Macaca fascicularis: one gene and its partners. The protein of the gene in region 4 purifies or fractionates together with the protein of the main gene of each other region. This does not show direct contact. Links are inferred from orthologs where the notes say so. Each region holds a gene or a part of one and is shown on either strand. Other genes may lie near its edges.

What was found.
Region 1: the proteins of NFKBIA (region 4) and PSMA4 purify together in Homo sapiens (affinity purification with western blotting; 3 studies listed by BioGRID and IntAct, with this or other methods). This does not show direct contact. The link is inferred for Macaca fascicularis from reciprocal best matches to the Homo sapiens genes NFKBIA and PSMA4.
Region 2: the proteins of NFKBIA (region 4) and VCP purify together in Homo sapiens (affinity purification with western blotting; 7 studies listed by BioGRID and IntAct, with this or other methods). This does not show direct contact. The link is inferred for Macaca fascicularis from reciprocal best matches to the Homo sapiens genes NFKBIA and VCP.
Region 3: the proteins of NFKBIA (region 4) and TRIM22 purify together in Homo sapiens (affinity purification with western blotting; 3 studies listed by BioGRID). This does not show direct contact. The link is inferred for Macaca fascicularis from reciprocal best matches to the Homo sapiens genes NFKBIA and TRIM22.
Region 5: the proteins of NFKBIA (region 4) and NFKB2 purify together in Homo sapiens (affinity purification with mass spectrometry; 6 studies listed by BioGRID and IntAct, counting the BioPlex papers as one, with this or other methods). This does not show direct contact. The link is inferred for Macaca fascicularis from reciprocal best matches to the Homo sapiens genes NFKBIA and NFKB2.
Region 6: the proteins of NFKBIA (region 4) and REL purify together in Homo sapiens (affinity purification with mass spectrometry; 6 studies listed by BioGRID and IntAct, counting the BioPlex papers as one, with this or other methods). This does not show direct contact. The link is inferred for Macaca fascicularis from reciprocal best matches to the Homo sapiens genes NFKBIA and REL.
Region 7: the proteins of NFKBIA (region 4) and RELB purify together in Homo sapiens (affinity purification with mass spectrometry; 4 studies listed by BioGRID and IntAct, counting the BioPlex papers as one, with this or other methods). This does not show direct contact. The link is inferred for Macaca fascicularis from reciprocal best matches to the Homo sapiens genes NFKBIA and RELB.

What each region holds. Positions count from the first base shown.
Region 1 is NC_088381.1:55,902,836-55,907,005, reverse strand, and holds the start of PSMA4 (proteasome subunit alpha type-4), read right to left. Parts: upstream 2,801-4,170; 5' UTR 2,682-2,800; intron 1,327-2,681; 5' UTR 1,304-1,326; coding exon 1,301-1,303; intron 1,055-1,300; coding exon 1,012-1,054; intron 747-1,011; coding exon 584-746; intron 1-583. UniProt on the Homo sapiens protein: Component of the 20S core proteasome complex involved in the proteolytic degradation of most intracellular proteins. This complex plays numerous essential roles within the cell by associating with different regulatory particles.
Region 2 is NC_088389.1:64,370,425-64,373,467, forward strand, and holds part of VCP (transitional endoplasmic reticulum ATPase), read left to right. Parts: intron 1-192; coding exon 193-326; intron 327-404; coding exon 405-540; intron 541-852; coding exon 853-965; intron 966-1,364; coding exon 1,365-1,529; intron 1,530-1,620; coding exon 1,621-1,743; intron 1,744-2,018; coding exon 2,019-2,231; intron 2,232-2,734; coding exon 2,735-3,043. UniProt on the Homo sapiens protein: Necessary for the fragmentation of Golgi stacks during mitosis and for their reassembly after mitosis. Involved in the formation of the transitional endoplasmic reticulum (tER).
Region 3 is NC_088388.1:68,345,598-68,349,097, forward strand, and holds part of TRIM22 (E3 ubiquitin-protein ligase TRIM22), read right to left. Parts: intron 598-3,500; 5' UTR 532-597; coding exon 109-531; intron 1-108. UniProt on the Homo sapiens protein: Interferon-induced E3 ubiquitin ligase that plays important roles in innate and adaptive immunity.
Region 4 is NC_088381.1:103,221,237-103,225,326, forward strand, and holds the start of NFKBIA (NF-kappa-B inhibitor alpha), read right to left. Parts: upstream 2,801-4,090; 5' UTR 2,696-2,800; coding exon 2,469-2,695; intron 1,850-2,468; coding exon 1,741-1,849; intron 1,414-1,740; coding exon 1,203-1,413; intron 913-1,202; coding exon 824-912; intron 717-823; coding exon 447-716; intron 75-446; coding exon 27-74; 3' UTR 1-26. UniProt on the Homo sapiens protein: Inhibits the activity of dimeric NF-kappa-B/REL complexes by trapping REL (RELA/p65 and NFKB1/p50) dimers in the cytoplasm by masking their nuclear localization signals.
Region 5 is NC_088383.1:111,407,063-111,409,799, forward strand, and holds part of NFKB2 (nuclear factor NF-kappa-B p100 subunit), read left to right. Parts: coding exon 1-137; intron 138-434; coding exon 435-539; intron 540-665; coding exon 666-751; intron 752-832; coding exon 833-971; intron 972-1,183; coding exon 1,184-1,309; intron 1,310-1,744; coding exon 1,745-1,954; intron 1,955-2,033; coding exon 2,034-2,175; intron 2,176-2,541; coding exon 2,542-2,656; intron 2,657-2,737. UniProt on the Homo sapiens protein: NF-kappa-B is a pleiotropic transcription factor present in almost all cell types and is the endpoint of a series of signal transduction events that are initiated by a vast array of stimuli related to many biological processes such as inflammation, immunity, differentiation, cell growth, tumorigenesis and apoptosis.
Region 6 is NC_088387.1:61,078,999-61,082,498, reverse strand, and holds part of REL (proto-oncogene c-Rel), read left to right. Parts: intron 1-845; coding exon 846-988; intron 989-3,500. UniProt on the Homo sapiens protein: Proto-oncogene that may play a role in differentiation and lymphopoiesis.
Region 7 is NC_088393.1:53,067,705-53,071,204, reverse strand, and holds part of RELB (transcription factor RelB), read right to left. Parts: intron 998-3,500; coding exon 782-997; intron 1-781.

The DNA of each region.
Region 1 (4,170 bases), about 47 Mb from region 4:
TCTCTACTTAGCATGGCCAGCTCTCCATGAGCTGCAAAGTTCTGCACATCTAAATATAACCAACATCTCACACCGTGTACAAGGCTTGGCTAAATTCTTCCCAGATCTCCAACAGGCTTGTTCTTTAGTAAGATTCAGTATAATTCAACAAAATCCTGCATAGCTATTCTAAACAATACTTTGAGGGCCTACTATATGCCTGACACTATACTATTTTATTTCATTCATTTTATTTCATTAAACTGCCACAACCACTTGAGGAGACTCTGAGGCCCAAAGAAATTAAATAATTTGTGCAAGATCACATAGCCTGCATGGGGGAAGCCTGGAGCTGAACCCAAATCAGTGTGACTACTATGTCTGTACTCTTACCACTACACAATGCTAGTTTCTCTACTAAGTGTTTGCCCTGCACTTAAAAGGAGTAACACATGGTACCAGGCCTCAAAGAGGTTTCAAGCAAAATAAAGGTACAACTTCAATCCTACCACATCACACAGAAGAGCCCTCCCAAATTACATAGATCCCACTTATGTGAGAAAGTGAGATTTTTTTTAAAACTCTTTCCTAAAATCTCACTTACTCATTGAGTTTATAAATTTTTTCAGAAAAAAAGACTTCATCGAGAAGCTTGTGGATGTTGCGTCTCTCTGCTGCAAGCAAAACACCATCATTTGCTAAAATTCCCAAACAGGTGCCTGCATGTCCAATAGCTTCCATGGCATATTCAACTTGGTATAAGCGACCTACAAAACAAAAGCAGTGAGAAGCCAAGACTCTCCTCTATGCTCTTGCACCACTGACCCAAAAGAAATTAGCAAGGAAGCAAGCTAGAAACAAATTCCCACTTTCACTCTTCTATGGTATAATCAACCCGGTGACCATAATTGCTTCGAAGTACAAAAAGGATGAACTTTGCAACTACCAAAAAAAGTTTGTAATTTTTTTTTTCTAAAAGTCTAACACATTTTTTTTTTAAACTTGAGGCAGATTAAACAATTTCTATTTTACCTTCTGGAGAAAATATAGTGGTCCTGGAGTCATATCTTCGAGACTGCAAAGGAAAAACACATGAGTGATTCCTACCCACTGAAAGTAGGCCAACTCCTGCAAGCCCACAAATCACCTTACAAAACCTATCCTGGTATACAAAGTTCAGCAGATGAGAGGAAACTGACAAGAAAAAAGGCACCATCTCACTGCTTTCCTTCTATTTCAATTTTCCCACACAAGTCTGTAAGCTGAGTACAAGCAATACTATTTATCAGGCAACAGTTTACTGGCACATGTATTAACTCACCATGTTTTCTGAACTTTATATAGTTCCTGTAAAAAGAAAATCAGATCATCATTAAAATAAGATTCACAAATTAAAAAGCATTTGCTGACTTTACAAATTAGTTTTATTTACTCCCTTTATTCAGCTAAGTGTCAGGCGTTATGCTAGATGCTGGAATACCAAAATGTGTAAAACCAATTCCTGTCCTGAAAAGCTAATACTGGCAGTTAGGTGAGAGAGGCAGTCATAGATTATAATGCAGAAAGAGGAACCGGGGGTAGAATGGGAAAAGGGATGATGAAAAAAATCCAGAAAGTATTTTTTGAGAAACCGATACAGAAAATGAAAGTAAATCAGAGACGGGAGAGGCAGAAATAAGGCTGAGAACTCCTGGGTCTAAGAGAAAGAACAGGGGAAGAAAGAAGGGAAGGGCACTCCAGACAGAGCAGAAAGTATGAACAAAGGGTACTGAGGCAGGATAGCTTAGTGGGCATGAGACAAACTGCTGATGTTTTTAAAAATACATAAATAAGAGCTAAGCGAGTATCCAAATCCCGCGGAGCCTTGAATGCCAAGTTAAGACACTTAGGCCTTCTCCAGAGAGTCCTGAACTTGGGGGTGGAGGCAGTTATCTTGGGCACCATCAGTACCATTCGTGCAAAAGGCAATACTGGGTGCTCAGTGTTATTTGGTAAAGCCTCAGTCCAAAGCCCACATTCCCAAATACTGGAATACAGGGAATCAAGACTGGAAAGGTAAGCTGGAATCAAATCCTGGAGAGCCCGCGTGCCCAGGTAAAAACAGAATTTTCTCTCTCAGCCACTGGGGCTCCTCGGAATGATTCCCAAGGCCCGCAAGAACTGATTAGCATTTTAAATGATCCCTCTGGCTCGTGAGAGACGGAGGGCAGCGAACTGGTTGAGGTAATAGGAAGGTGCAAAGTAAGGATGGCCCAGAGCAGAGAAACAGGTAGGACACAGAGAGACTCGCCGGGGATTTCTGATTCGAGCGTAAGCACAACTTTCTGTGGTCTCCACGCCTGACGCCGGTCACAGCACGATTTTGAGTTCACCGGCACCTCTGGGAGCGCTAACTTTCACGTACCGAACTCCCGGGGACGGAAGCCGCCCCGAGTCCTCGGTCCTGCCCACAGATCCCCACCCTCAGCTCGCCCCCTCGCCGGGCCCCGGCGTCCAGGCTCGGCACGGGGAAGCCTCCAACGGCGGCCGGAGGGGGCCATTCCCGGCGGCTGGTCTGTCACCGTGGAGGCGGTGCAGAGTCATCGTGCCCACGGCTCCTCGGCGGCAACTGCAGGCCGGGACCGACTGTCTTGACGTTCACTACCCCCGCCGAAGGGAAGAGCGGCCATGCTTCCGCGGGCCCCCAGGGGCCAAAGGCTCACCAGATGGAAGACCCTGAAGACTTCAGATGTCCACTGAGCCCTTATCTCCGCGGGAAAATAAACCACCAGGGCTGCCCGAATAACCGCTGCTAATATGGCCCCCGCGCTTGCGCAGAACCGCTAAGGGAGGGGGTAGTGGGATGGCCGAGGACACGGAAGTCCTCCTTGTGGGGCGGAGCTAGAACCCGTGGCCCTCGTGGGAGCTGGGGCGCTGCAGCAGGTGGAGGAGTTGCTGCGCCATGGGGAGGAGGGCAGGAAGACCGTAGCCAACCAGAAGGTGGAATAACTAATTTCCTTCTCTTACCCTTGGCGCTCTACTTTCACTTTCTCTTCACTATTCACACCTAGGATAGCAAATAGTGTGGACCGGCTTCTTAATTGCTACCATTCCTGTCCTGTTTCCCGAAATGGTTCCAATCACATGAGACTTTACCTCTGTAATCATCTCCCTTTTTCATTCTGGCTTTCACTTTTACTGCTGATGTATACATTTTGGACATTTACATTATGATGAGGAAGGCTGGGTGGCTCACGCCTGTAATCCCAGCACCAGCACTTTGGGAGGTCGAGGAGGGTGGATCACCTGAGGTCGGGAGTTCGGGACCAGCCTGGCCAACATGGTGAAACCACGTCTCTACTAAAACTACAAAAATTACCCGGGTGTGTGGTGCACGCCTGTAATCCCAGGAAGCTGAGGCATGAGAATCGCTTGAACTCAGGAAGCGGAGGTTGCAGTGAGCCAAGAGTGCACCACTTCACTCCAGCCTGGGCAACAGAGTGAGGCTCCGTCTCAAAAAAAAAAAAAAAAATGATGGTCGGGCATGGTGACTCACGCTTGTAATTCTACTGCTTTGGGAGGCTGCGGCAGGAGGATGGCTTGAGGCTAGGAGTTTGAGGCTGTAGTGAGCTGTGATCGCGCCACTGCACTCCAGCCTGGGTGACAGACAAAGACTCTGGCTCTAAAAATTAAAAAAAAATTATGGTCAGGTTCACACTTTTAGAATTTTCACTTGGTGTGTTTCTCTGCTTTTCACCAGTCAGAAAGGATTACCCTGACCAGCGTAGTTAAAACAATACCCTACTGTCAGCATATACTTGCACCATTTTATCTTCTTTACTGAAATTGTCATACTTGTTTATGTGTTCATTATCCATCTCTCCACCCTTTTGCTCATTCAGCCTCAGTCCCTATGTAAACTATCTACTATTCATTTCAGGTTTTTTCAGGCTAGAAGGTTGACTAGATCTGGGTTCATATGAAGTCATCTGCTCAGTCTCTCCCAAAAAGCAACCCATTGGGCAGAAACTCTGTCCTCTTCATGTTGGTTGCAAAATAATTGGGGGATGTGGGCTTTGAAAAGGAGATGGCTTGGAAGTTGCATTTTGGGGTCTCACCTATCATCTCTGCTTTCCAAGCACACAGGGAAGTGAGCCAAGGCAAGATGGCAAAGAGTCACACACAGGTGGTGCTCTGAAAGCATCCTCAGGT
Region 2 (3,043 bases), on a different chromosome or scaffold from region 4:
CTGGGCTTCTCTCCAGCCTTGCCTGGTGGCTGTCCTGGGATAATGGCTGGTAGAGGATCTGAGAAGTAGGCATAGGTTACCACCTTCTCACCCAGGACCTGTCTCTGGGCCAAACAAGCAAGATAACTGATTTTTGGGGGCAATTGGGAAAGACTGTCATTTTGTTATTGCCTCCATTCTGTATCCTTTCAGGTCCTGAGATCATGAGCAAATTGGCTGGTGAGTCTGAGAGCAACCTTCGTAAAGCCTTCGAGGAGGCTGAGAAGAATGCTCCTGCCATCATCTTCATTGATGAGCTGGATGCCATCGCTCCCAAAAGAGAGAAAGTAGGAGCTTACCTGAGGGGATAGTGGGGGGTTGAAAGGCCCTGACTTCACTTCTGACCAGACATCCTGTTCTGGCAGACTCATGGTGAGGTGGAGCGGCGCATCGTATCACAGTTGTTGACCCTCATGGATGGCCTAAAGCAGAGAGCACATGTGATTGTCATGGCAGCAACCAACAGACCCAACAGCATTGACCCAGCTCTACGGCGATTTGGTAAGGACTCCAGATACTTTTGACCATGTCCTTGCTTAGGTCCTACCTCTCTCCTTCATCTAAGTCACCTAATCCTCTTGAAGCCCTTCACAGTGATTGGATCTGGGTTTCTTTTTCCTTTATCCTACGTCCTGTCTAGAGTGACCATCCACCCTGGTTTTCCTGAGACTGAAAGGTTTCCCAGGGTTGAGACTTTTTCATTGCTAACATTAGGACAATCCTGTGCTAGCTGAGATGGTTGGTCACCCTAGGCCTGTCTCTTACCTCTGGACTAGAAACGAGCCCTGTCTATGTTCATGCACTGTCCCACAGGTCGCTTTGACAGGGAGGTAGATATTGGAATTCCTGATGCTACGGGACGCTTAGAGATTCTTCAGATCCATACCAAGAACATGAAGCTGGCAGATGATGTGGACCTGGAACAGGTGAAGTGATGATGAGGGCTGACCAGGCGTTACAATATCTTTAGGCAGTTGCTGGGAACTGGCTAGAGACATAAGGTTTTGATGTGAGGAGATGGGTTTTTATTTCTGGACAGGGGAAAGGAGGTAATCTGAGATTAAATCCAGGAAATTGGAGTTGGCATTTTTCTCACTTGACGCTGCATTTAGAGTAAATCAGAATTGTTGGAGCAGCTTTATTTCTAGGTCCTGAGTCCAGGATTAAGTACTTAAAACCCAGCCCATAAAGGTTTTGCTAGTATATGTATTCAAGGAAATTAGAGGACGCAGGGATAGCAGTCAGGGGAAGCATTCTATTATCTCTGAGCTTCCTGCGGCAGCTGGGTCTTTGAGGCAGCACAGTAAATAGATCTTTCTCTGCAGGTAGCCAATGAGACTCACGGGCATGTGGGTGCTGACTTAGCAGCCCTGTGCTCAGAGGCTGCTCTGCAAGCCATCCGCAAGAAGATGGATCTCATTGACCTAGAGGATGAGACCATTGATGCCGAGGTCATGAACTCCTTAGCAGTTACTATGGATGACTTCCGGGTAAGGACCACACCCCTGCCTCAGGTACACACATATGTGCTTTGACCCCTCTCCTGGTAAGTCTCATCCCCAGTTTTCCCTCCTTTTCTAGTGGGCCTTGAGCCAGAGTAACCCATCAGCACTGCGGGAAACCGTGGTAGAGGTGCCACAGGTAACCTGGGAAGACATCGGGGGCCTAGAGGATGTCAAACGTGAGCTTCAGGAGCTGGTCCAGGTAGGGTAACTTGGTCCAGGGTGAGTCACTGCCTCAGTACATTGTAATTGACCTTGGTGATCTTAGGGTGTCAACACGTTTGCTGCAAGAGATGTGAGAGCACGACTTAGGAACCTATTTTTCTTAGATTTGAGGCACTAAGGAGTCTGCTTCTAGAGAACCTGGATCTGATACCATTGGGTACACCATGAAGTAATGGAGGGCATGCTTCTGTTTAGTTAGGTTTCTTTCACAAGGTGGAGGTAACCTTGAACCCTCTTTCCTTTTCCTCCTAGTATCCTGTGGAACACCCAGACAAATTCCTGAAGTTTGGCATGACACCTTCCAAGGGAGTTCTGTTCTATGGACCTCCTGGCTGTGGGAAAACTTTGTTGGCCAAAGCCATTGCTAATGAATGCCAGGCCAACTTCATCTCCATCAAAGGTCCTGAGCTGCTCACCATGTGGTTTGGGGAGTCTGAGGCCAATGTCAGAGAAATCTTTGACAAGGTGAGCTACAATAGGCTGAGCTATCTATTGATTTGCCTGGGGACAAGGAATAGAAGCTGTTTTTCTTTAAGACGGTTGAAACATTCTTATTACTGGCTGCTCAACTGGACAGCAAGTCACTTGATTTTCTGAGGTGTGAGAGAGCTGTTTTTTTTGTTTTTTTTGTTTTTCTTAAATTGAGACAGGGTCTGGCTCTGTTGTCCAGGCTGGAGGGCAGTGGTATAGTCATAGTTCACAGTAACCTTGAAACCTGGGCTTAAGCCATTCTACTGCAGACTCCTGAGTAGCTGGGACTACAGGCATGCGTCACCACATCTGGCTAATTTTTTATTTTTTGTAGAGATGAAGTTTCAGTATGTTGCCCATGCTGGTTTTGGATTTCTGGCCTCAAGTGATCCTCCCACCTTGGCCTTCCAAAGTGCTGGGAATACAGGTGTGAGCCACCACGTTTGGCCGAGAGATCTAGTTTTGTTAATGCTTGAATCAATCCATTCCTCCTACAGGCCCGCCAAGCTGCTCCATGTGTGCTATTCTTTGATGAGCTGGATTCAATTGCCAAGGCTCGTGGAGGTAACATTGGAGATGGTGGTGGGGCTGCTGACCGAGTCATCAACCAGATCCTGACAGAAATGGATGGCATGTCCACAAAAAAAAATGTGTTCATCATTGGCGCTACCAACCGGCCTGACATCATTGATCCTGCCATCCTCAGACCTGGCCGTCTTGATCAGCTCATCTACATCCCACTTCCTGATGAGAAGTCACGTGTTGCCATCCTCAAGGCTAACCTGCGCAAGTCCCCAGTTGCCAAG
Region 3 (3,500 bases), on a different chromosome or scaffold from region 4:
CTCAGTTCTATGGTGAAAAGGGGAATAAAGCAGGACAAAAAACGTGGAGATTTCACATCAGGTACCATTTCTGCTCTCTGCTTTCTCTTCCTCTACCTTGGAGCCTACCTGACATTCCTTGACCACCTCGTTTATGCGGAATGTTTGGTGACCTTGGTGTTCCTGAGACAGTTCACAAACCCAGCAAATGACTTTTCCATCTTCCTTACAGAAGATCTGGAGTTTTTTTCCATGGTGCTCACAGATGTCTCTCTTCTGCCCCTCCTGTGGGCTCATCTTGACCTCCTTGACTCTCTCAACTATGTTGGCCAGATGCCGATTAGGTCGGAGCTTCCCAGGCTGGAATCTGCTCTGACACACAGGACAGCTGCTTTCTCCTCTTGAGATGGTCACTGACTCCTTGATCTTTGCAGTGATGCAGGCTTGGCAGAAGCTGTGGCCACAATCTAGGCTCAGAGGTTCTGTTAGGAGCTCCAGGCAGATGGGGCAGGTCACCTCCTTCTCTATGTCTACCTTTACTGAGAAATCCATTGCACTGCTCCCTTGGCTTCTTTCTGTCTTGACTCTTGAACTTCTTGGTCAGAAAATCCTGCAGTGCTGGAAATGTTGAAGGGGACAGGGTAAGAAAAGCGGGAATAGAAAGAATACTGCTTTTACAGAGATTTAGAACAGGACCAAAAATTAATATTTAACAGAGAAAGGAGAAAAGAAAGGCAAGAAGAATAAACCAATGACAGAATAAAATGGACTTTGTAGTAATTTGAAACACTTTATTCTTAATTTTTGTCTCAGGACAAATTTCACCCCATCAAGGCAATTATTGTTATTTTCTCTTCTACTGGAGAGGACAAACTGAAGCTTTTCTACCAAGAGGTTCGTGTAACCCATCATTTATCCTGCCTTTTGTTCCCCAACCCAAAACACATTTTCCATGTTAAATGCACTAAGCACACCACTGCCCCTGGGCTTTTGCACATGCTTTTCTCTCTGGATGACGTGATTGTATCTCTAATATTTGCATGATTCACTAATATTTGTGTATTTTTAAGCTACTGAGTTGTATTTACATAGCATCATACACTCTCATTTTTAAGTGTATAATGTGATAATTTCAACTAAATTTGTGGAACTATATGACTGTTACTGTAACACAATTTAAAATTATTTTTACCACCTGAAAAAAAAAAAAAAAAAAACAAACCCTAATGCCGTTACTCCTATTCTGATCCCAAGCTCCAGACAATCACTAATATCCTTTGGATTTTTAATCAATTGATAAAAATAGAATCATAATATATGGTCTTTGGTATCTGAATTATTTTATTTATACTGTTAAGGTTTATCTCCTCTGCTTTTTCCACATGTAAAAAACACCTCCTCAATTAAACTATCAAATCTATGACTCCTCAAGGCTTTTGCACTTGCTCCTCTCTCTCCATAAAATGATCCTTCCCCTGATGTTAGCAAGAGTCATTCTTAAATTTAATTCAATCTCTTAGATGTCCTCTTCTTAGAAGGACATACTATAACTTACTTATAGCAAAACCACCAGTAATATCACTCACTGCACATTTATCTTCTTATTTTTACTATGTAATATATAAGATTGTTCTTTAAATGTCTACTTCTTCCTCCTGAAAAGTAATCCATTCATAGACATGGGACTGTTTTTGTTCACTGATATGTCCTCTATACATAGAAGAGCGAATCACATACAGGAATAAAATGTTGAATGAATATTTAAAGCTACAACTTTCCTCTCCCTCCATAGATGATTAGACCTTTGAATCAGATTTTCATCTTTTCTTTCCATCAATTAGCAGTTTCCCAATAGCTGAGCTTTGGGACCATGATTATGGTTTCCAGTGAAGAAGAGTTCACATCCTAACACATCTACCCATAGCAAGTCCTCCCATGACCTCACACTCACTCCTCAAAGACATACACACACACCCACACACCACTGCAACCACCACCACCGCCACCATCACAATAAGAAAATAATTTTATCATAAAGAATTTTATAACCAGTTACAATTTGGAAATAATTTTGACTTCTTTATTCTTCATACAAAACCCTTGAGAAAGAAGAATACTCCCTTTCTTCAGGTGTGTCAATAGAATTAAGTAACTTACAAAGATCACTCATTCTAATCTAATCGGTAGAGTAAGAGTGAATGTATTGGTCTCCAAGGTCCTCCTTCAGAGTTCTCTCCACTACTGCACAGATTTAAACAGACAACAAAGGTAAAGGTTACAACAGTTATACTGATACCCAGTGCTATGGGGGTATAGAAATGGAGAGATTCAGACCAGCTATGTAGTTCTAGGGCATGCTGTGGTTTTAAATGTTGAAATTTCACCGTGGCCTGGACATAAGGCGAGGATGGTGATAGGAACCTAAAGGTGTATATCTTTAGGGAAGACGAAAAGAGGCTAAAATAGTTACAGGATCACACACGTGACATAGACTCAATGAATATACTTTTTAAAGAAACATCTGTTGGTCGTGGGAGAAAAGTCTCTATCCATAAAGGAGGCCAAGTATATTGAGAATATGTAGCGGAGGGATAAGGTCTGTCCTGTTTCTCCCCAAATGATGCTGGAATCCTAATGTGTGAATGTCCTTTTATTTGCAGATAGTATATTTAAATACTATTTAGTTACCATGTGCTCATTAGGATAGACCCTTATCCAACATGACTGTATCCTTACTAAAAAGGGACATTTACACACAAGGAATATGCTAGGGTGAAGAAGAAAGCAGAGATCAAGGTGATGCACCTATAAGCCAAGGAATGCTAAAGGTTTCCAGGAAACTATTAGAAGCTGGAAGAGAGGCATGGAGCAGATGCCTCCTTCATAGCCTTCAGAAGGAGCCAGCCCTGCCAACACATTTTATCTTGGATAACTAGTCTCCAGAATTGTAAGGCAATATATTTCTGCTATTTAAGCCAACCACTTTTGGTACTTTTTCTACGACAGCTCTAGAAAACTAATACAAGTGCTTATTTTTCTTGATTTATTCATTCTTTATTCTAACATTGAAGAAATGTAGCCCCATTGAAACCCTTCCAACCTAAGACAGGTAAACAGATAGACACATAAACAAAATGCATGCTCCCCTTTGAAGGTGGTACAAATGTAGGAGTTTTTATGACACGGTGAAGGCTAACTAGGTCCATAACTTCCTTATTTCAGAATACTCTGATTACCTGCACAGAAGCTTTCCGTATGTGTACAATTTAGATTTAAAAAAAAAAATGGTCAGGCGCTGGAGCTCAAACCTATAATCCCAGCACTTTGGGAGGCTGAGGCAGGCAGATTACCTGAGGTCAGGAGTTTGAGATCAGCCTGGCTAATATGGTGAGACCCTGTATCTACTAAAAAAAAAAAAATACAAAAATTAGTCAGGTGTGATGGCAGTTGCCTGTAGTCCCAGCTAATTGGGAGGCTGAGGCAGGAGAATCGCTTGAACCCGGGAGGCAGAGGTTGCAGTG
Region 4 (4,090 bases):
TCCATGTTCTTTCAGCCCCTTTGCGCTCATAATGTCAGACGCTGGCCTCCAAACACACAGTCGTCATAGGGCAGCTGAAAACAAGGGGAAAGAAGACACATTAAACTTCCGAAGCTCTGCCAAGCCACTGGGATGGGGAGGCCGCTACTGGAAATAACCCTTGGACTCCATTCTCCATAGCCCAAATACAATGAACTTTACAGGCTGAGGGAGTTTGCCTTTAACTCCCATTTTAAAAATGTTTTAAAAAATGCTTTTCTTTAAAAAAGGGTAAGCTATTTAAAAAAAAAAAAAAAAGGTACATTATTGGGATACTGGTTATGCACAGAAATTTGAGAGACTCATTATGTAGATACCCCTCTGATAAGGAGCAGTTCTAGGGGCCCGGGAGGGTGAAGGGAATGGTCCCTCATTAGTTAGAGAGCCCAAGGAGTTCACAGACTCACCTCATCCTCCGTGAACTCCGTGAACTCTGACTCTGTGTCATAGCTCTCCTCATCCTCACTCTCCGGCAGCATCTGAAGGTTTTCCAGTGTCAGCTGGCCCAGCTGCTGCTGTATCCGGGTGCTTGGGCGGCCCCAGGTGAGCTGGTAGGGAGAATAGCCCTGGTAGGTAACTCTGTTGACATCAGCCCCACACTTCAACAGGAGCGACACCAGGTCAGGATTCTGCAGGTCCACTGCGAGGTGAAGGGCAGTCCGGCCGTTACAGGGCTCCTGAAACCAAAAGGAATTTGAGATGCTTATGGCTGCGTTTGGAATTTCTGCTCACAACATGAGCACGAGGAACTTGACTCAGTGCATCGGAGGCAGGAAGCACTAACCTGAGCATTGACATCAGCACCCAAGGACACCAAAAGCTCCACAATGCCCAGGTAGCCATGGATAGAGGCTAAGTGCAGACACGTGTGGCCTGGAAGAACAAAACGAAAAAAGTATAACCACCTGTTTCAACCCTCACTCCTTTCACCTATTCTTTTATGGGACAAATAGTCATATCTTCTGAATTTTAAGAACCCACCGTTTGGGTTCTGAAAGAACTTTATAAAGGCATCCAACAGGCACTTTGCACACATATTTTCTCAACCTTTCAAATGCTGGCAGTTTAAGTTCTTGCCTCGACTCCTTAAGTTGGCCCACCTGCCCCTTCTCCACATCACCTGCCACCTGAGGGGGTGGGGCAGGGCAGGGAGGCAGACATACCATTGTAGTTGGTAGCCTTCAGGATGGAGTGGAGGTGCGGGGTGGTGCAGGACTGAGTCAGGACTCCCACGCTGGCCAAGCAGCCCTGCTCACAGGCAAGGTGTAGGGGGGTATTTCCTCGAAAGTCTCGGAGCTCAGGATCACAGCCAGCTCCCAGAAGTGCCTCAGCAATTTCTGGCTGGTTGGTGATCACAGCCAAGTGGAGTGGAGTCTACGAATGCAGGAGAGACCAGAGAAAGTAAGCCAGGGACCAAACCCACACCCTGAGTTCCCCTGAACCCGTGTCTCCTGGTTGGGTGCTGCTCCTCCTAGACAGGCGGGTGGGGAGGACTGGCAAATAGCAGAGACTCCAGGTGGGTCACAAAGACCTCACCAAATCAGTGGAATTTCCTTCACTCTCTAGGATGTGGGCTGACGTGAAGTAAAAGGTGAGGGTGAATAATGCCCTGTGGCCCTGAATTCAGAAAGGATCTGGGGTGACTTTGCTACATCAGTTCCATCCCAGAGTTAGAGAGCCCGGGCCAGGCAAGCGGCGCACCTGCTGCAGGTTGTTCTGGAAGTTGAGGAAGGCCAGGTCTCCCTTCACCTGGCGGATCACTTCCATGGTCAGTGCCTTTTCTTCATGGATGATGGCCAAGTGCAGAAACCTGTGGGGAAGAGAGGGAAAAACCCCAGGGGTGGTGAGTGCACCGCGTGGGGCCCAGGGAGGCGCGGGCTGCGGGGGATTGCGCAAGGCCGGGGTTTCTGGAGGCCGAGGCCGCGGTGTTTTCCGCGAGGTTATTATGAGCTGAGTGTTCCTGGCAGGCGCCCAGGGACTTTCCGCCCCCCTCCCCCCGCGGCCCCGGCGGGCGCCGGCCAGACCGCCCCGCCCTCCCGCCAGCTCGGAACGCCCTGTACTTCCCCTCCCGGCTGCTCGGCGCCCGCCAGCGGCCAGAAACTCCCGCCCCGCCTTATGCAACCGGGGACTTCGCGTCCCAGCTGCCGCCCCGCCCCCGGCCTAGAGGACAGGCCTGGGGGGAGGGGGCGTGTGGCGACGCTGCCGTCCACCAGGGCCCAGCCGCCGCCCCTCCGAGTCGGGCCGGTGCCCCGCGCGGCCCTGCAGCCCTGCAGCGTTCGGGGCGGTGCAGGAGCCCCGGGGCGCCGCGGCGCCAGCCCGGCTGCATCGCTAGTTCCCCAGCTCGGGCTCCAGGCCCGGCGCCTCCCACTCCCCGGCCGCGCGCATCCGGCCCTCCCGAGGACCCCCGGCTCCGGGTCTGCGCCACTTACGAGTCCCCGTCCTCGGTGAGCTGCTGCTTCCAGGGCTCCGCGCCGCGCGGCACCTCCTGCGGCTCGAGGCGGATCTCCTGCAGCTCCTTGACCATCTGCTCGTACTCCTCATCCTTCATGGAGTCCAGACCGCTGTCGTGGCGGTCGTCCAGCAGTCGTTCCTTCTTCAGCCCGTCGCGGGGACCCTCCATGGCCCACTCCTGGGGGCGCTCGGCCGCCTGGAACATGGCGCGGGCGAGCTGCGGGCGCTGCTGCGGGTGCGCTGGGCCGCGGGCTGCGCGCTGCTTCCTCGCTGGGGCGCTGGCGGGCGGGACGGCGGCACGGGCTGGTGTGGGCTCTGCAGCGCCGCCGCGGCGCCCTATAAACGCTGGCTGGGGATTTCTCTGGGGCGGGGTCAGGCGCGGGGAATTTCCAAGCCAGTCAGACCAGAAAAGAGAACTGGCTTCGTCCTTTGCTAGGGGGAAAAAGAAGCCTAAACCCTGAGCTGGGGTTCGTCGGAGAAACTCCCTGCGATGAGCCACTGGGGTCACGGACAGGGAACTTTTTGATGAGTGCCAAGTGGCTGGAAAGTCCTTCCGACCAGGCCCCCTTCCCCGCGGTACTTCCCTGCAGCCTGCACCCTGTAATCCTGTCTCTCTGCAAGTGAACCTTCTTTCCCTGGGGTTTCCCACGATCGATTTGAATTGGGGTCGTCGGCGGCTGAGATCCCAAGGACGCCGACCTGATGGGCGGTCCCTCTTTGGGGTTTGCCAACCTGCCGGTCCTTTCCGTTTTTTGATCTTTTGAAAACGCAAGAGTGGAAATGATGGCTGGGCGTAGGGATTTGCTTTCCCCAGACTTCTAAGGGGAAGGACGCACTGTGGTTATGGGGCTGCAGGCTGCTCTTGTGTTTCTGCTAATATCAGGCTCATTGCAGCACGGGGACGTTTAGCTTCGCGCCCTTCCTCCCCTACCCCCCACGCACCTCTGCCAGGTAGAACTGTGAAAGCTTTGGAGGAGTGGAAAGCCTAAATCCTTGGAAAACTCTCAAATCACTTCCAATCACTTCCTAGGGATGAACAGCCTTGTTGAGTGGGGGAGGGGCAAACTCTCCCTGTATGGGGAAACTGCTGAATAGGACCATGATTTTTTTTTTTTCCCCCAAGTAAAGCAAGGTGTTAATCTTTGTAGTGGTGGTTGTGGATACCTTGCAATAACAGAGTAGCTATTGTGTTCATAAGTAGCTGTTGCATTCATGCTATCTGACCTACATTGTGCTGCCGCAGAGAATGGATCCTGAGCCTACTTCTGGGCATCTAAACTGAGCAATTCGAGGAGCACTTAGAGAAGGAGGCTGAAGAATGAGTTTAGTTAGTGCCTTAACCGCGATTGGACCTTAAGGACCGCTAAGAAAGTAGTTGCCAGTCATCCTGCAGGAGGCTCAAGGCAGCCCCATCCTCCCATCCTGCCCACCCCGCCTTGCTCCCTCGTCCTGGGGGATAGTAGCAGTTGGACCCATTCATGCCACCCAGGTAGAAAGGGGTTTTGGCTCACTATGCTCTGATTTCACCTGCAGAAATGTAATTTATGCTCTCCATCCCACCTCCACCTCCAAGCCTGCAAGCCATGGACTGAATTCATCT
Region 5 (2,737 bases), on a different chromosome or scaffold from region 4:
GCAGGAGGCCAAAGAACTGAAGAAGGTGATGGATCTGAGTATAGTGCGGCTGCGCTTCTCTGCCTTCCTTAGAGCCAGTGATGGCTCCTTCTCCCTGCCCCTGAAGCCAGTCATTTCCCAGCCCATCCATGACAGCAGTGAGTATCCTGACTACCTGGGGTGCCAGGCCTGGTGGCAGAGGTGGCACGAGGGGTGACCTTAAGCTGTGGAGTCAAACAGGCCCAGGTTTCAGAACCTGGCCCTGCCACATAGATGCTGAGTGATCCTGAGCAAGTCATTTCCTCCCCCTGAAGCTTCTATCTTTAGTAAATGCGAATATTGGGTGGTTCCTGCAGCTCCAGGGGTTGCTAAGATAAGGAATACAGAGCACCAAGCTCCTTAAATGTGGCCATGGCTATTGCATCATCTCAGCTAATCCATATCCCACCCCATAGAGTCTCCGGGGGCATCAAACCTGAAGATTTCTCGAATGGACAAGACAGCAGGCTCTGTGCGGGGTGGTGATGAAGTTTATCTGCTTTGTGACAAGGTGCAGAAAGGTGAGACTGGAGCCCAGGCTGGGCGCCAAGGACATCGAATATAAGACTGGGGCCAGGGAAGCTCTAGGATAAATGGCCCCGGAGATTCCACCGGGAGCTGCGGCCAAGCTTCCGTTTTCCTTGTAGATGACATTGAGGTTCGGTTCTATGAGGATGATGAGAATGGATGGCAGGCCTTTGGGGACTTCTCTCCCACAGATGTGCATAAACAGGTATCCAGGGCTAGGGCCCAGGCTGGGGGCTAAATTAGGCTAAGGACTCACTGACACCCTGTGTCTCCCTGCACCCCCCAGTATGCCATTGTGTTCCGGACACCCCCCTATCACAAGATGAAGATTGAGCGGCCCGTAACAGTGTTCCTGCAACTGAAACGCAAGCGAGGAGGGGATGTGTCTGATTCCAAACAGTTCACCTATTACCCTCTGGTGGAAGGTGGAGCTGGGCTGAGGACCCCAGGGGGATGGTGGGGGGCCAGGCTGGGCTAGAAGGTCCCAAGAGCTAGATGTGGGGATGCATGAGCCAAGTCAGGAGTGTGGAGGGTCTGAGGAGGTGCTTCCTAGGAGCCAGCCTGAGGGCTCTTCTGGGAAGGGCCCCTGAGGCATGACACAATAATTGGGCTCAATCTCATTTTCCTCTGCCCCCAGACAAGGAAGAGGTGCAGCGGAAGCGGAGGAAGGCCTTGCCCACCTTCTCCCAGCCCTTCGGGGGTGGCTCCCACATGGGTGGAGGCTCTGGAGGTGCAGCGGGGGGCTATGGAGGAGCTGGAGGAGGTGAGGGGGTGCTGATGGAGGGAGGGGTAAAGGCAAGAGAAGCTGTGGAGGAAAAAAAAACAGGGAGAGGCCAGGCGTGGTGGCTCACGCCTGTAATCCCAGTACTTTGGGAGGCCAAGGCAAGCGGATTACCTGAGATCAGGAGTTCGAGACCAGCCTGGCCAACAGGGTGAAACCTCATCTTTACTAAAAATACAAAAATTAGCTGGGCATGGTGGCAGGCGCCTGTAATCCCAGCTACTCGGGAAGCTGAGGCTGGAGAATCGCTTGAACCCGGGAGACAGAGGTTGCAGTGAGCCGAGATCGCACCACTGCACTCCAGGCTGGGCAATAAGAGCAAAACTCCATCTCAAAAAAAAAAAAAAAAAAAAAAAAACCAAAACTGGGAGAGTCCTGGCTGGTGCCCGTTTCCCACAGCCCTGCCTGTACCCACAGGTGGCAGCCTCGGTTTCTTCCCCTCCTCCCTGGCCTACAGCCCCTACCAGTCCGGCGCGGGCCCCATGGGCTGCTACCCGGGAGGCGGGGGCGGGGCGCAGATGGCCGCCTCGGTGCCCGGCAGGGACTCCGGAGAGGAAGCCGCGGAGCCGAGCGCCCCCTCCAGGGCCCCCCAGTGCGAGCCGCAGGCCCCGGAGATGCTGCAGCGAGGTATGGCCTCCAGGGCACGGACGGTCGGGGCGCTGGGGCTGAGGACCCAGCTCTGACCCACGCCCTCTGTCGCCCCCAGCCCGAGAGTACAACGCGCGACTGTTCTGCCTGGCGCAGCGCAGCGCCCGGGCCCTACTCGACTACGGCGTCACCGCGGACGCGCGCGCGCTGCTGGCGGGACAGCGCCACCTGCTGACGGCGCAGGACGAGAACGGAGACACGTAGGCAACAGAGGGCCTGGCGGACGCGGCGCGGGGTCGGGTGGGGGCAGGAAAGGGACCGGCACAGAGCCGGGCTCTGCAGTTTTCGGACACACCAGGCTTCAAGTCCGGCCTCTTTGTTCACCAGCTCTGTTCAAGATGCTTGGTCTCTCCAAATTTCAGTTTTGTCGACCGTGCAAGGGGTACAGTTATAGCACTTACCTACCTCAAAAGGTGCTAGGAAACGTTAAGTGCAGGCACAGCGATGCCCTGGGCCACGTGCTGGGTTCCACGGGCCCCAGCGAGGGAGTCTATGAGGGCGGTGGGGCTTTGAGAGCGAAGGATGCTCTGAGTGGCTGGGCCAGACTCTCGCTCCCCAACCCCCAGACCGCTGCACCTGGCCATCATCCATGGGCAGACCAGTGTCATTGAGCAGATAGCCTATGTCATCCACCACGCCCAGGACCTCGGCGTCGTCAACCTCACCAACCACCTGCACCAGGTGCGGGGGCGCCTACTGGGGAGGTGGGAGGGGTTGGAAGGCAGGTGGGTCTCGGGCCTGGCTCACCCTGCTTTCATCCCC
Region 6 (3,500 bases), on a different chromosome or scaffold from region 4:
TGTTCATTGTATGTTACTTTACATATCCTAGAGTTTCATATAAATGGAATCATGCAGTATGTGCTCTTCTGGTCTAACTTCTTTCACTCAGCATAATGATTTTGAGAGTCATCATGTTATTATATGTATCAGCAATTCATTCTGCAGATGCTTATTTTGAATTTTAGTTATTATAGAAAGTAAATAATTTTTTTTCTCTGTTGTATCTTTAGAAAAGGTTTACATGGGACTGGTGACACATTCTTTGAGCCTAAAGTCCCTCCTGGGGCTTGTTTTGATATACTATGTGTAAGTCCTTTAACATTTGAATGGAGATAGAAAAAACTTACATATGCTTCTGCAGGGATTTAAATGCATTTTCATTTTCAGTGAATGGTCTTTTCATTCAGTATTATGAATATGATGTAAAATCAAGCAGTTAAATACATTTAACTCACTTTAGGAGTGTAATATTTTACTTCTGAGTACTATCTTCTTTACCCTTCTTGGGGAATCTTGGGGGAAACCCTTCTGCTAGGTCTCACGTGGGAGGTGGATATCTCTGAAGTGGTTATCTCAGAAGTTCATATTGATGTTAGCTATAGATATTAAGCTATAAAGTGCTAACCAATCAATATGGTTTGAATGACTTGTTTTGACACTACATAGGGACTCAATCTGAATGGGAAAAAAAGGTGCCTCTCCCAGCCAATCTCCAAGATAACATTTCAACCTTGTTATTTAATGTTAGGAGGAAAAAAAAATCTTTATTTTAGTCTGCTGTTATGAAAAAACAGACGTGTTAAAATCCATTATTAATTGCTATATTAATCTCACTCACCTCCTCCTTTTAAAAAACTTTTCAGGTGCGTATAACCCGTATATAGAGATAATTGAACAACCCAGGCAGAGGGGAATGCGTTTTAGATACAAATGTGAAGGGCGATCAGCGGGCAGCATTCCAGGGGAGCACAGCACAGACAACAACCGAACATACCCTTCTATCCAGGTAATAGACCCTTCTTCTATGTCTATCTCGCTATTAGTTGCTTCATATATTAGCTATAGCAATTATTTTAAAGGGACAGTTTCTTAACAATCATCTCCACAGTTTTGTCTTTTTCTTTTTTCCTTTTTTCTTTTTCTTTTTCTTTTTCTTTTTCCTTTTCCTCATAATGTTTAGTCGCTCTACTTAGGTTAATACACAGCACCATATAGCTATCTGCAGTGGGGATAGTTGGCAGCTTTTGGATCATGTTCTTTTTCATGGAACACAAAGATAATAAGGAAAACCCATTCTCTACAGAGGTGGGTGATACTCTTCTGTAGATTAAACATAGGTTTGATAACTCAATCATAATTCTTCTTGGCTAGTCTTAGGGCTAGAACATTTTTTTGTCCTTTTTCTTACCTTTGTTGCTTGTCTCTGATTCTCTGGGTCATTGACTGATTTGAAATACCACTTTATAAATGTAGTTTTCTCACATTAGCATAAATTTTTAAAAGCTTTTGACTAAAAATGACTTTGGTAAACATACTAATAGTTATAAGATGTACTAAATTTATTTATTTATTTTTGAAATGGAGTTTCGTGCTTGTTTCCCAGGCTGGAGTGCAATGTCACAATCTTGGCTCACTGCAACCTCCACCTCCTGGGTTCAAGTGATTCTCCTGCCTCAGCCTACCGAGTAGCTGGGATTACAGGTGCCCACCACCACGCCCAGCTGATTTTTGTATTTTTTAGTAGAGGCAAGGTTTCACCATGTTGGCCAGGCTGATCTCGAACTCCTGACCTCAGGTGATCCACCTGTCTCGGCCTCCCAAAGCGTTGGGATTACAGGCATGAGCCACCGCGCACAGCCAAGATGTACTAAATTTATTTACTTATTATATATTTATTTATTTTTTTTTGAGACGGAGTCTCACTCTTTTGCCCAGGCTGTAGTGCAGTGTCACAATCTCTGCTCACTGCAAGCTCCACCTCCCGGGTTCACGCCATTCTCCTGCCTCAGCCTCCCGAGTAGCTGGGACTACAGGTGCCCACCACCACTGGTGCCTGGCTAATTTTTTTGCATTTTTAGTAGAAATGGGGTTTCACCATGTTAGCCAGGATAGGATGGTCTTGATCTCCTGACCTCGTGATCCACCCACCTCAGCCTCCCAAAGTGCTGGGATTACAGGTGTGAGCCACCACGCCCGGCCTATTTTTTATTTTTTTGAGACAGAGTTTCACTCTGTCGCCCAGGCTGGAGGGCAATGGCATGATCTTGGCTCACTGCAACCTCCGCCTCCCAGGTTCAAGTGATTCTCCTGTCTCAGCCTTCTGAGTAGCTGGGACTACAGGCGTGTGCCACCACACCCAGCTAATTTTTGTATTTTTAGTAGAGACGGGGTTTCACCGTGTTAGCCAGGATGGTCTCAATCTCCTGACCTCATGATCCGCTCGCCTCGGTCTCCCAAAGTGCTGGGATTACAGGCGTGAGCCACTGCACCCAGCCCAATGTACTAAATTTATATTTTCTATTTGTAAACTGTTTTTCATTTGAGTTTCAGTGAAGGGTTTATCCTTTAAATGCCAATTAAAAACTTGAATGGTAAAGTAGATTTTGAAGTGTTACTTTTTTTTTTTATTTGAAAAGTGTTACTTTTATCAACAGATCTTAATTCATTGTTTTATAACTAGATTATTTACAAAGTCTATTCTGTTGATGAACTTAAAGGGAATTGCTAAGTTATAGAATAAATCAGTGGCAAAATTATATATTGAATTCCAGATTTCTATTTTTATCACATTTTTGGCAGTAGTATGGATTTGGGTTATCTAAGTCTTTTAAATGTTAAAATGGGTGAGATGCTAATAAAAAGGAACTAAGGAGCCGGGCGCGGTGGCTCAAGCCTGTAATCCCAGCACTTTGGGAGGCCGAGGCGGGTGGATCACGAGGTCAGGAGATCGAGACCATCCTGGCTAACACAGTGAAACCCCGTCTCTACTAAAAAATACAAAAAACTAGCCGGGCGAGGTGGCGGGCGCCTGTAGTCCCAGCTACTCGGGAGGCTGAGGCAGGAGAATGGCGTGAACCCGGGAGGCGGAGCTTGCAGTGAGCCGAGATCCGGCCACTGCATTCCAGCCTGGGCGACAGAGCGAGACTCCGTCTCCAGAAAAAAAAAAATTTAAAAAAAAGGAACTAAGGAAATACTCTTTGGCCAGTTTTTTGAGTCATTTTTAAAGTTTTCTTCATAATTCGTCTTATCCTATGCATCTCTAAAATATTTCTAAGATCTGTATTTTTACTATTCCAGTAGGTCCTAAACACTTTACAGCTTGAGTTGTGTATTTGCCTACTTATAGTCTTGAGCAATTACCTTTACTTTCATACAGAAAGAAATGTAATACTTCCTGGTTACTTTCAAATTCTAATTCAAAATTATGGATTTTAGTTTCCTCTACCTCGTAAGCTAGCCATTCTTACTTTACCTTGCTCCTTTGTGGTATGCTGGTTTTTATATTCCCCGCTTTGTTC
Region 7 (3,500 bases), on a different chromosome or scaffold from region 4:
AGTAGCTGGGACTACAGGCGCCCACCACCACGCCCGGCTAATTTTTGTATTTTTAGTAGCGACGGGGTTTCGCCGTGTTGGTCAGGGTGGTCTCGAACTCCTGACCTCAGGAGATCCACCTGCCTCAGCCTACACACTGGCCTCTTTGTTGTTCCTGGAGCACCCCAGGCACAATCCAGTCTCAGGACCTTTGCACCTGCTGTTCCAGCTGTTTAAAACACTCTTCCTCAACTCTCACTACTTCCCTAGAAAACTTCCTGCTTAATCATCCTCCTGTCATCAGCTCAGCTGTCCCCTCCTCCAAGAAGCCTTCCCTGATGCCCACAGCTAGGTTAGGTGCCCCCTTTGGGCAATGCGAGCCCTTGAGCACTTTATTCCAGTCCTGCCCACTCTGGTCATCACTGTGTGGGGACAGGCTGTCCCCCATCCTCAGGACTATAAGCCTCATGGGGACACAGCTAGGGGCTCTGTTGGTCACTGCTGTGTCTCTAGCAATACCGAGCACAGGCCCAGGCATGTGCAGGATGCTGAGGGGAGGAAAGATTAAATACTCTCCAATGTCACAGGACGGCTACTATTATTTCCATTTTGCGCAGAAGAATGAGGCTCAGAGAGGCCAAGGTCACACAGCCAGTAAGCAGCAGAGCCGGGATCTGAACACCGTCTTTGTAGCTCTGAGCCTGCATTCTAGTTCCGCCTCTTTCCCCTCCCCACTGGGGTCTCCCCAAGGCCGAAGACCTAGTCTCCGAGGTGTTGGGTCACCCTGGGTTGCTGTAGTTACCATGGTCGCGAGGCAGGTATGTGAAAGGCAATGGCTCGCTGCAGACCCCATCGGTGAGCCGCTGCAGGAAGACGTTGACTGTCACAGGCTCTACAATCTCCAGGTCCTCGTAGGGCGGCGTCTTGAACACAATGGCAATCTGGCGGTGCACGTCCGCCTGGGAGAAGTCAGCCCGACCTTCCCAGGAGGCCCTGCTGAACACCACTGATATGTCCTCTGGCAGGAAACGGGGGACATCAGCTAAGCCAGGACATCTGGGCCACTGTGCTCCCAACTTGCCCAGCCTCCCCCAAAATCAAGACTAATATTCTTTTTTTTTTTTTTTTTTTTTGAGAGTCTTGCTCTGTCGCCAAGGCTGGAGTGCAATGGCGTGATCTCGGCTCACTGCAACCTCTGCCTCCCAGGTTCAAGAGATTCTCCTGCCTCAGCCTCCCGAGTAGCTGGGATTACAGGCGCCCGCCACCATGCCTGGCTAATTTTTTTTTTTTTTTTTTTTTTTTTTTTTTTTGAGACGGAGTCTCGCTGTGTCTCCCAGGCTGGAGTGCAGTGGCGTGATCTCGGCTCACTGCAAGCTCCGCCTCCCGGGTTCACGCCATTCTCCGGCCTCAGCCTCCCAAGTGGCTGAGACTACAGGCGCCCGCCACCACGCCCGGCTAGTTTTTTGTATTTTTAGTAGAGACGGGGTTTCACCATGTTAGCCAGGATAGTCTCGATCTCCTGACCTCGTGATCCACCTGCCTCGGCCTCCCAAAGTGCTGGGATTACAGGCTTGAACCACCGCGCCTGGCCTATTTTTTTTTTTTTTTTTTTTTTGAGATGGAGTCTCGCTCTGTCGCCCAGGTTGGAGTGCAGTGGTGCGATCTCGGCTCACTGCAGGCTCCGCCTCTGGGGTTCACACCATTCATTCTCCCGCCTCAGCCTCCTGAGTAGCTGGGACTACAGGTGCCTGCCACCATGCCAGGCTAATTTTTTGTATTTTTAGTAGAGACAGGGTTTCACCATGTTAGCCAGGATGGTTGCTATCTCCTGACCTCGTGATCCACCTGCCTTGGCCTCCCAAAGTGCTGGGATTACAGGTGTGAGCCACCACATCCCACCAATTGTTTGTATTTTTAGTAGAAACGGGGTTTCACCATGTTGGCCAGGCTGGTCTCGAACTCCTGACCTTAGGTGATCCACCCACCTCGGCCTCCCAAAGTTCTGGGATTACAGGCGTGAGCCACCGCGACCGGCCTTGTTTTTTTTTTTTGTTTTTGTTTTTGTTTTTTTGAGACAGGGTATTGCTCTGTTACCCAGGCTGGAGTGCAATGGCATGATCTTGGTTCACTGGAACCTCTGCCTCTGGGCCTTGAGATCTTCCTACCTCAGCCTCCCAAGTAGCTAGGATTACAGGCATGCACCACCACACCCGGCTGATTTTTTTTTGTATTTTTTGTAGAAAAGGGGTTTTGCCATGTTGCCCAGGCTGGTCTCAAACTCCTGGATACAAGCAATCCTCCCACTTTGGCCTCCCACAGTGCTGGGATAACAGGAGTGAGCCACCATGCCTGGCCTCTAATATTCCTAAAAATAAAACTAATCACCAGGCACGGTGGCTCATGCCTATAATCCAGGTGTTTTGGAAGGCCAAGGCGGTGGATCACTTGAGGTCAGCAGTTCGAGACTAGCCTGACCAACGTGGTAAAACCCCATCTCTACTAAAAATACAAAATTAAGCTGGACGTGGTGGCTCACACCTGTAATCCCAGCACATTGGGAGGCCTAGGAGGGTGGATCACCTGAGGTCAGAAGTTCAAGGCCAGGCTGACCAACATGGTGAAACCCTGTGTCTCCTAAAAATACAAAAATTAGCCGAGTGTGGTGGTGTGCACCTGTAATACCAGCTACTCAGGAGGCTGAGGCAGGAGAATCACTTGAACCCAGGAGGCAGAGGTTTCAGTGAGCTGAGATCACACCACTGTACTCCAGCCTGGGTGACAGAGTAAGACTCCGTCTCAAAAAAAAAAAAAAAAAATTAGCCAGGTGTGGTAGCACACACCTGTAGTCCCAGCTACTTGGGAAGCTGAGGCAGGAGAATCACTTGAATCAAGGAGGGAGAGGTTGCAGTGAGCTGAGATTTCTTCATTGCACTCCAGCGTGGGCAACAAGAGCGAAACTCCATCTCAAAAAAAAAAAAAAAACGAATCATAGTGGCAGCTAACTTTCTACTGAGCACCTATTATGTGCCAGTCACTTTGTTTGCTTGTTTTTGAGACGGAGTCTCACCCTGTCACCCAGGCTGGAGTGCAGTGGCGCGATCTCAGCTCACTGCAAGCTCTGTCTCCTGGGTTCACACCATTCTCTTGCTTCAGCCTCCCAAGTAGCTGGGACTACAAGCGCCCGCCACCACGCCTGGCTAATGTTTTGTATTTTTAGTAGAGACAGGGTTTCACCGTGTTAGCCAGAATGGGCCGATCTCCTGACCTCATGATCCGCCTGCCTCGGCCTCTCAAAGTGCTGGGATTACAGGCGTGAGCCACTGCGCCCGGTTTTTTTGTTTTGTTTTGTTTTGTTTTGATATGGAGTTTCACTCTTGTTGCCCAAGCTGTAGTGCAGTGGCACGATCTCGGCCTCCCGGGTTCAAGCAATTCTCCTGCCTTAGCCTCCCAAGTAGCTGGGATTATAGGCATATGCCACCACGCTTGGCTATTTTTGTTTTTTTGTTTGTGTGTTTTTGAGA